Linked DNA regions of Tribolium castaneum. The protein of the gene in region 2 purifies or fractionates together with the protein of the main gene of each other region. This does not show direct contact. Links are inferred from orthologs where the notes say so. Each region holds a gene or a part of one and is shown on either strand. Other genes may lie near its edges.

Region 1 (5,560 bases), on a different chromosome or scaffold from region 2:
ACGTTGAAAATATGTAATCAATACATTGAGTTTCTCTTATTTGTGTTATTTTGAACAGTTTTTGCAACCTTTAAAAAACAAATTTTCTTGACTATTTACACAAAAATCACGTTTTTTTTTTAATTACAAACACCCAAAACTTTATTTTTTATATTTCATTATTCAATAAGCCATACGTTTTATTCAGTGGTCATTTGATTCATATCAAACATAATTAATCTCAAATACGTGGTTGAAAAATGCTGATACATTTTCACAGCGTTAAAAATAGCAATGCATTATTATACAGTCATTGCATGGAAATTCTTATGACTATTCTTATCTACACTGTTTGGTGTAGCTTTTAATAAACAATATTCCACCTGTGCTATAATAAAATTTTTCCGCACAAAACCTCCACATAAATTCAACACTTGATTTATGATTAACATTGTCTGATAACAAAACACACCACATCACGTGTTCGAGTATACATTTCCGCCAATTTACAACATTTAAAACAAATCACGTTTTATGTTTTAAATTGATGCCAATCACTATCCTTTGTGATAAGTGATGAGATAACACAAAATGGCTTTACATAATCCAACCTTCTACAATTTATCTACAATATTGGATGATACTGCAATGTTTTGGGTAAAAAACATAATATTTGTTTTGGAACAAAAGTGAGGTCACTGGCAAGACCATAACTATTTATTTCTAATACCTAATTAACTGTGATTAAATTCATTAACTTAAAAAATAATGAAACGATTAGAGATATTGTTGGCCACCCATTAGGCCATTAATTTTAGCTCAAGTGATAAATTTAAAAACCACGTGCTCCCTGATCAGGGCAGAGATCCAAAACACAGTTGGGTATTCAAGAATTACGACCAGACTTTCAGACTCCACTAGGCCCCTATTTCTTGTGCATTTTGCATTAATTTACAAATTCAAAATTGGTTGGTAACAGAGTTGCCAACAGAAACAGTTATTTCGGACCACTCCGTATAAAAACTATAAACGGTCTTTTTGTGGTAAAAGGCCGGGTGCCAAAACACAATTTTATTATTTTCTGGGCTAAATATGGGAATATGACTCAATAAAACATTGGAAAACGCTGATGACACCTACCTTAGTAGAACTGAGGCGGTCTCCGGTACCCTGAAGACCTGTGGGAGCAATAAATTGGGTTGCGTTTTGGTAATAAAAAGTGAAAATTGGCGTTACCTTCCATCCCATATTTTCGAAAAACGTGCTCAGCCTGGCTTGACCGGTCGTTTTTCCGCCACATGGTCCTGTACAAACCCAAAATAATCTCGTGGAGGATCACATGGTCGACTTACCTCCTGTTAGGACAACTCTGTAACAGGTTTTATCGTTGCCACTGGTCGTTTTATCCATATTTCCGGTGTTTTGACGAAACTTAGTTTTTCCAATTGAATTTTGCTAGTATTCGAGAAGGTGATTTTGTTGTGAAAGGTGAAGAATGAAAATCAAAATTTGTAAGCACTAAAAGAAATAAACCGGGTACATGATCAAATTTTACTGTATATTGATTTCATGATTTGTTATTTCGCGAAAGCGACAAAGGCTGACACGCGACACCGCACAGACGCGGGACTAAAGAAATGTGAGCGAATTTGAGTCTTAAATAAACATCGTCGCTGATAAAATTACATTTTGGGGAGGGAGTTTCGCCGCAGAGGGGTGGCCACACTGGAATCAATACACGTGGTTCCCGTGGCGCAAACTTCGAATCCCTCGCCCATTTACGCAAAAAAACGACGCATCCTAAGCACAATAACGCCAACACAATAATAATCAATCACTTTGTATCGAATTTTATTGTAAATGAGAATTTTTACTGATTTATGAACTGTTTCGAGCTTGTGCACACTCTGCCACTAGCACACCTGATCATCTGTTTTGACGTTTTGGTGACAACAATACAAAAAATGTTTTTTGAGTTCTTTTTCAATTAAGTGTTCAAAAACCCAAAAATGGCGGAGAAAAAGCCCAGCCCCTTGGACCTGAACAGTCCCAGCTTCAACCCCAACATGTATTTGGATAAATTATTCAAAGTAACAATAGCCCCTTTTTCACCCTTGAACTGACACCCTCTTGCAGGAGTCCAACTTGAAGCAAATAATGGACCACGAGAGCGAAATCGTCAAAGACACACAAACCTTGCATTCCGACATGCAAACCCTAGTTTACGAAAATTATAACAAATTTATTTCGGCTACAGACACCATAAAAAAGGTATTGGTGCGTTTTTCTTTCCGAAAAGTGAATTAGTGCCGTAGATGAAAGTCGATTTCAAAAAAATGGAAAACGAAATGGACCTCCTCGCCTCAAACATGTCGTCAATTACGTCGTTTTCCGACCAAATTAACTCGACTCTTCAGGACACAAGGAGCCAAATTAGTAAATTGTCGGGGGTGCACACGCTTTTGCAGCGCCTCCAGTTTTTATTCAAACTGCCAACAAGCTTGAAAACTCGAATGGAGGAAAAGCGATACATTGAGGCGGTTCAGGACTATTTGCACGCCCAGCGTGTCTTGGAACAGTACGGTAACTTGCCATCCTTGCAAGGCATCAAAACCGACTGTGAAACCATCCTTATTGAGCTCAAAAAAGAACTGAGGAAGCACTTCAGTAACCCTCAAGCCTCGGCCAAGGAACTGACCGAAAGTGTGGATTTGCTCCTGCAACTGAACGAGCCGGCCAAAGAGTTGTGTTCTGAATTTTTGATTTGTGCCGAAAAACGTCTCAGTGACCAACTAGTCATGCTGAAGGACCAAAGCGAGCAACGGGACATTTCCGAATTTATTGATTTGGGTTGTTCGGGATTTTTGAGCGATTTGTGTCTGGTTGTGGCTTCCTTTGACGACATGTTTATCAATCGCAACAATTTGGATAATATCGAAAATAGTGATATTTTCGAAAATTTTGCTGCAACTGAACTCAACAACTTTGTTAAACAAAACATGGCGAAGTATTTCGATTTGGTGCAAAATAAAGTCGATTTGGAGCAGGATGTTGGAGATACGGCTGTTTTAGTTCAAGCCTTGGACCGGTTTTATAAAAGGATTGAAAGTAACACACTGTGCAGGGATGTGGATTTTTCGGCGTAAGTGGATAATCGTTTTAATTATTTTTTTGTTGGTAATTTTAAGTCTTCTTTTTAATATCTGAATTCTAGATTATAAACACTATTTTAAAACACGTTTGCCATAGCAACGTGTTTTGAATAAAAATGTCTTAACAAAAAAAAATTAATAACATTTATACGAAAACGCTGAAAGTTCTCGGGTGTCTAGGTATACACTCGCATACACTCGTTGCATAACGAAATTTAAGCTTGTGTTTTCGCACTCGTATTATTAATAACTATTTTTTTATGTTTTTGAATACAGTACAAACTCGTTTTTAGTCATTTTAATTTTTAACCAATCAAAACAATACTACAAAGTGATTTTAAATGACTTCTATTTAATTAATTTTATGGAAGTTCATTTATAAGTTAGTATAATACATCACTTCATTACCTAAAATTATTTTCAAATCTACAGCGGTCTTGAGAAATCAATTAGGTACAATATAAACATTTTTTTTATGAAATATTTTTTATTTTACTGAACGTAGCTTTCAATATTGGTATTTTTCTATAGACTTTTACTGTAGATTCCGCTTAGTTTTTGAAATGTAATCTAATTTTTTTTTGTGAAAAGTACTACACAAAAAGTAAAAATACGAGCCCTAACAACTAAGGGCCGGTTTATAAAAAGCTTTGTTAAAAGTTAATTCGTCGCTAAAAGTTAACAACGCGAATGGACCAATTAAATTTGTTCAATTTGGTCACGTGATCAGTTAATCACGCATTTAATTGCAGATTAACTTAATGACGTTTCTATAAACCGACCCTAAATGTTTGAAAGAATACATTTTTGTAAAGGAAATGCATGTCAAGCTACTGAATGTTTAAATTTAAAAAGGCATATTTTTAACGAATCTGTAACAGAATTCAGGCGTTTTATTGTTCCAAATATGTTCTGTTTTGTTTTTTAAATCTTTCAATTACCACTAAGAAAGATTTCTAGGATAACTTATCATTTTGTGCCAAAAAGACACAATGATATTGAAATCAGGGCTAATAGCTGGTCAAGGCATAACATTAATGTAAGAATTACCAAATTATTAATTCAAAAGTTTTGTGGTGTGACAAGAAGCACCTTTTTTTTTAAATAAACATACCTTCGGGAACGTAATAATTTTTTTTAGAATCCCATGAAATTGAAGGTCAAATAATAATACAAAACTGGATAGTCATATGTTAAATTTTTTAGCTCCTTACATTGCCAAGCGAAGTGGGAAAATTTCATCGTTTAATTTTTTTTTCTAATAACTTATTTTCTAATAACAAAGTTCAGAAAACACTTTAGTATTTAGTATTTAGTGAATTTCATAAGTTTGAATCCATACAAATTATAAATAGTATTGTTGTAATAAAACCAGTTTGATAATAAATAAATAAAATGAATAAAAATAAAATAAAACTAAATAAAAATAAAACAAGATTTCGTCCAAACATTTAGTTATTAGGGCTCGTACTACAGAAATCAGGTTTTCACATTTTTAAAGAAAGTTCAAACTTAAAGCTGTACTACTTGTACACATAGTGCAATTAAGAACTTAAAAAATTACTGTAATAAGAAATAATAGTTGATTTTTTTAATATCTTTTTTGTAAACACTTATTAAATGTTTATGTTATTTATTAGAAAGACAATTTGAAAGTATTTTACGAGCAAAAATAAGTAATACGGCGTTTCCTTTAAGAATTTTAAGTTATTTAAACTTTTAAAACTTTAAACTTTTAAACTTAAAAGAGAGTTCTTCATGTTTTTATCATCTCAGCTGTAACTCTCCAAAAAATATTAAAGCACTAAGGTTCATACCTTCCTCTTTTAAGCTGAATCAGTTTCATTTGTTTAGATTTCTTAGTTTCGGCGTAATACATTTTTACAAAGTGTGTTCTTAAAGAAATGAAATTACATAATATAGATATTTCAAAAACCAATCAACATTAACCAGTTTTATTAAAAATGCAATAAATCTAGACTACTAATAAAAAATCGCTAAATCACTAACAAAAAAGGTCAATTTTCTAAAAGTATGAAAGGGAATTTGGCTTTCGTGTGAAATTTGTCATTTTGTTCTATAATTTATTTCCACTTTAGTAACATTACATTTTAGTCTTGCGACCGAGATTGTGATAAATGCAGGTCGGAAACAGTGCAAAGCACATTTGCAAATCCTTAAAATGCACTTTGCTGATTGTTTGACCAAAGTGAGGCAAAACTTGACGACTCCAAAGCTGATAAGTCAAGACGACTCATCTAAAAATCTGAATGAGCTTCTCAGCACACTTATAATGTCAATAGTTGAGAAAATTAAGGGCGTTTTGCAGGACCTTGTGGTGGGAAAAACTTTGATTTAATCGACTTTAATCCACCAAACGAAGTAAATTTTAGGTGTTCATTCAACCAGAGGTGAATTTCGCCCAAAAA
Region 2 (5,363 bases):
GATATCTAGATCAAAATTTTAAAAAATCGCATGGTGTTAAACATGATTTCTTCTAATATAATTTTCCCTAGCATTTGATACAATATTACTAGTATTATTACGATCCAACATTGAACTACTTAACAATGGCAAAATACCGAGGAATACCATAATATTTTACAGGAGTATTGCCTTTGTTCCATAGCAATGTATCGATACAGAGGAGATAAGTCTCTACGGTGTCACTTTTTTTACTATAACTTTATAAAGACACTATGGCGGTCCCCGAGAACTGTCAAAATGTGTTCATACTTTTATACAAATCTCAAAAAATAGACTACGCAGTACCAAACAAAAAGCAAAATGATTAGAAATCAATTCCCCACAAAACTACACATTTTTTATTTAGTATTGAATACGTTTTCTTAGTCTGCTGATCCGAGACTTGGGTGCCAAACGCAAGATACTGCACAGATCGAAAAAAAATACACCATTCATGCACAACATCATTGTAAATATGTATGCAAAAATTGAAACCGATACTAGCAATAGCAAGGAAAAAATAACCTTTAGAAAAATTTCTTTGAGAACGAGATTTTTTTGAAAATACCGCTTTCTAAATTTATTTGCCAGTTGGAGGCCAGTTGGTTTTCGGTTGAAAATTGTTGTCGATTTTGAGATATGTATAATTAAAGTAAAAAAAAGTGTAAAAACACATATTTTTTTGATTTGACAGTTCTCGGAGGCCGCTTAAGGTTATAGAATTTAAGCTACAGAAAATTTTATTTTTCCTTATAGTCTATAGCCTAAAGAGTTATAGCACTATAGCGTGCGTTTTCTTAGAGAATAGCACCACTAATTTCGAATAAAAATTTTGCTGTTACCGTGTTGTCGGTCTCACGTACATAAATATCTTTTACCTGGTTGCCGGGACCCACCCTAATCTCTCCTTGAGTTGTTGCCATTTTTTACCAATTAATTACATTTCTGAAATAAAACACAAATTGTAGCCAACACTTGTCGTTTCGACCTCCCCTCGATCGCCCATTGCTACGCTCCACCCACCCCTCCCCACTCCATCCGCAAATTCCCCTCCCGATTGATTGAATCATGCCAACCGCGATTAAAAAAAAATTGTCATTTATTCGAGTCCTTGACGAAAATAAGCATTTTTACGACACGATTAACCGAAAAATCAATAGTTTTACGATCAATTTAGCCGAGAGAAATGACATTTTAACGACTGTGTTTATAACGACGTCGCGTAATAAAATCCTCCTTCGACACTTCTTCCAACGCGGAAACAAAAGACAATCGATGTTGGACGCCGATTAACGGCGGAAATCCGGCCTCGGCTCACTAGATCGGATCAAAGACGCCGCAAAACGGGCCGTCAAAGGGCCGTCATCGGCCCGCGCGCACGCAATCATTTAACAAATTAACCCGTTAATCCGCCCCCCACCCCCGGACTTGTATACATAACAATTAACTTGTCAATCGGGATAATTAGCGCCGCAAACAAATGAGCGTCGGGCGTCGATTTCCGCACCAGGCGACCAAAGGAAATAAATCAAGAATGCAGGAAAAACAAACGAAATTCGCTACTTACCTCAAAGCTGGCGCTACATAATAAATAAAAGACGACAGGAAGGGTGCGAGCTGGCCCCCACGGGTGAAACTAACACTGATTTGGGGCGCGCGACACCACAGACACCCGTTTGCACACTCGGGGCACGGTTATAGCCCCCCGAAAACGGTAAATTGCACTGGAAATAGCCGATAATAGTGGTATCGATTCAGGCAGCCATTTTAACTTGGCCTTCCTTGATTTGTTCATTCACAAGTGGCGCCAGTGGCGACATCTGCACCAAATTTTCGCTAATTGGGCCCACCTTAATTATAATTAACACCACATTAAGTAGAAAATTCTCGGGCAAAAACTACACCAGGAACGTGACAATTTTGTCGCAAAATTTGCCGGAATTAACGCATTGCACAGGTTCCTGCTCGTTGTTCAGTGTCAATTCAACAGATGGCCTGTCGCTTGTCAAAATGACAAGTCAGTAGTATGTGTAAATAAATAAATAAATAATTAATATTTCGTTCGTCACAATAACGGTTAATAGTGTTAGGATGGACGACTTGAAGCACAAAATTCTGGGCCTGATCAACAAACAGGTAAGTGGTACGATTCGTATGAGCCCCCTTAAAGCGCTTCCAGGGGCCTAAAATCCCGTCGATGGGGTTCTCCGACGCCAATTATCACTTCCCCCAAGTGGAGAATCTATCAATTAATAGTAAGACAGTTGCTGAGACAAATAGGCCCTCAGACCAGGAGATTTTGGAAAGTATTGAAGCGGCCTATTTTTCCATCCGGGACGACTTTGACATTTGCCGATTTGAACTGGGGGTGAGTGTGAACCCTCTTTTGCCCTCTCAAATAATCAAAAAATTCGTAGAAGTTGCCCCAAACGCTCGACTGTGACCAGATCCAGCGCGACTTCAAAACCCTCAAACAGCAACACCAAGTGGTCTCGAAGAAAGTCCTCCAATTAATATTGGAGCACCAAAGTGGCTGTAACACCGAGTTCGATAAAGTCTTAGAGATTTTGGAGCAAGTTAAGGACACACTTCAGGAGTGTAAAACTAGTCGGAGACACTTAAAAGTGGCCGCGGATCAGTTCCGCGCCTCCCTTGAGCTCCTCGCCAACTACCGTAAACGCAAAATTGCGCAAAACCTGCTAAACAACCTCAAAATGATCAAATATCTCGTAAGTGAGGTTATGTCACTAGTGACATTTGAGGTTATGTTTGTAGCGGTGTTATGACCAACGATTGCAAGGGCTTTTACGCGATGAGGACTACGCGGGGGCGATCATTGAACTCAAAAAGTGCCACAAAATCGCCACCAAGTATCGACATTTCAGCTGCGTGGCCGCCCTAACTTATAAATTGCAAGAAACTTTGGAGAGTACGGATGGGCAACTTGACCGGGTTTTGGCACAGGTTTTTGGTGTTTTAACCAGTGTTAGATGCTAATTGAGGGGTTTTAGACGTGTTATCATTTTGATGGTGAGCGCTATCAGAAATTACTGCTTGCTTATCATTTATTGGATAAGTCTGAAATTTCAATGATTGATAATTTGCACGTCCATTATATCACTGCGATTTACAATACGTCGTTAAATGTGGTGCATTCGTACGTAACGTCGGCCGAAAGTATCGAAAGTTCGGAGACGAGTGGGAAAAATCCGTACAAAACGCTTTGTCAAGTGAGTGATTTAATCTCAGTTTTTTTCCCTTAATTACATTGATGAACATTATTTCTTTTTTATTGTCTACCACGTGTCTTTTTATTGTTTGTTATGCAGATTCTGAAAATGTACTCAAAAATTGGCCATCTCGTCAGCTGTCTGAACAAAATTATTAAATATTTCTATAAAAATACAGGGTGTGTCAGAAATATAAGCTGTTTCAAAACTATAGAAACGCCATTTTCTCTCAAAATTAACTGTTATAAATTATTGATTCACTTCAAAAAAGAATAAAATAACAGCTAATGAAAGATCTTTATAACTATTTTTTCAATCTTATTTAAAAAAATAATTCGGTGAAATGTGACGTTTGAAACAGTTAATACGTGTGTGAATTTTAACAGGTAACATAGCTCAGCAAATGAAACATTTCTATATTAGTAATTTTTCAATCAAGAGATTATTTAAATGTTCCTTTTGTTGCACCAAAACTGCCAAAATCTTTCAGAATGTTCTAGCAATCAAATAAAAGATAAATAAAAAGAAAAACTTTTTAATAAGCGCCACAATTCGGGAATAAAATTAACTAGACGCCCTCTGGTGACGACATGTCGTACTTGCCGAAAACAGTAACGAAATTTTCGTAATTCCTCATTCAATGAATTATTTAGCTGTTCTGCGTGTGTACTGTTTATTTCAATTTCTTACATTAGAGAGTTTTTCGTGATTATAAATTATTATAAATTATTTTTGTTGTAAAAGTGAAAAAAAAATTGTTTTTGATAAAAAAGTCTTGTTATAACATTTGCGTAATCAAAGACTATAAGTATTGGATCATAGCGGATAGCGAACACATGTTGGGTTAACAAAAAACAGTAAGTTATTGAAGTGTGAAGTTGAACATGGTTAAGGTTTTTGGCAAATAACTTCGAATGTGTTAGGATTTACGTTAGTGTTGTATTAAGAAAAAACGTTCATTTTCTAATTCCCCATCGAAAGGTTTAAAAATAAATAGAGGTTGCCATTTGAAATAAGCAAAATAAGAGGCTCTAAAGTTTAAAAAGTTTGAAAATAAATTGTAAACACACTGTAGTAATTCAGATCAATCAAAATTAATTAATAATTCTGTTAAACCCTGTTCAAGACGTACGTAGTAATAATTACATCAATAAAGCACCGTTTCTATTTTTTATTGATTTTTAAAACTAAAGGTGTAAAACCAAATTTTTTTTGTTATAATTTTTTTTAACAGTAATCTCTGAATTGATTAAAAAAAACTTTAGGGACATGTAAGAAGCTAAAAAGGCATTTTAATGAGCACTAAGAAATAATAGCATGCCATTAAAAAAATATTACTATGACGTCATACTTTTTTGAGACACTCTATATAGTAAAAAATATTTTCCTGAAATACGTCCTAGAGTATAAATAACGTCTACAAAATATTAAAAGTCCAGCTTAACTAATAGCTGATCTACAGACGACGGGAGCAGATTTGGGTCACCCTGTATACATATTTAATTTGCATGGAATAATAAAATTAGTTTATTTTGTTTTCTACAAAACCTGACGTGTTATTTTAACGTTTTTTATGTTTTATTATCCACTATTATAAAATAGAATTAATTTGGACATGATTTATAAAAAAATTGTCCAATTTTTTTTAAATTTTAGAGTGTTGGGAGCGACGTTTTTATTCCATGTCTGGTGAGTTTGTGCAAAGTCTTGTTCAAGATCGTGCTAAGTTACCACCAATTGATCAATTGGCATAACAATCAAGAGCAAGAGACAAATTTAAATAAGGAAAAACTGGACCACAATTTGACTAAAATCTGGGATGACGTGCAACGTAAAGTCTCAGGGCTTCTCCTCAACGCTGATTTGGCCTCTTATAAGTTCGACCAGTTCGTCCAAGTTTTGGGTGTTGTGCACCGCTTGATCCAAGTTGGCGAGGAATTTTGTCTGAGCAAATCGGACGATTTGCAAGAATCAATTCGTAAACAAAGCGTCAACTATTTCAAAAATTACCACATCCAGCGTTTGGAGGAATTAAAAATCTTTCTCGAGAATGAAATGTGGGAGATTTGTCCCGTTAAGCCCACCTTTACTCTCCTCCAATTGCAAGAGTTT

Evidence for each region. The genes of interacting proteins can lie anywhere in the genome.
Region 1: the proteins of Vps50 (region 2) and Vps51 purify together in Homo sapiens (affinity purification with mass spectrometry; 7 studies listed by BioGRID and IntAct, counting the BioPlex papers as one, with this or other methods). This does not show direct contact. The link is inferred for Tribolium castaneum from reciprocal best matches to the Homo sapiens genes VPS50 and VPS51.

The regions. Positions count from the first base shown.
Region 1 is NC_087395.1:17,182,270-17,187,829, forward strand, and holds the start of Vps51 (vacuolar protein sorting-associated protein 51 homolog), read left to right. Parts: upstream 1-1,883; 5' UTR 1,884-1,988; coding exon 1,989-2,069; intron 2,070-2,115; coding exon 2,116-2,250; intron 2,251-2,294; coding exon 2,295-3,121; intron 3,122-5,246; coding exon 5,247-5,469; intron 5,470-5,524; coding exon 5,525-5,560. Other genes in the region: Ttd14 (TRPL translocation defect protein 14), read right to left, coding at 1,120-1,157, 1,216-1,283, 1,332-1,389. UniProt on the Homo sapiens protein: Acts as a component of the GARP complex that is involved in retrograde transport from early and late endosomes to the trans-Golgi network (TGN).
Region 2 is NC_087401.1:9,938,459-9,943,821, reverse strand, and holds the start of Vps50 (syndetin), read left to right. Parts: upstream 1-1,937; 5' UTR 1,938-2,112; coding exon 2,113-2,157; intron 2,158-2,200; coding exon 2,201-2,389; intron 2,390-2,438; coding exon 2,439-2,750; intron 2,751-2,796; coding exon 2,797-2,985; intron 2,986-3,032; coding exon 3,033-3,251; intron 3,252-4,907; coding exon 4,908-5,363. Other genes in the region: Gug (arginine-glutamic acid dipeptide repeats protein), read right to left, coding at 885-944.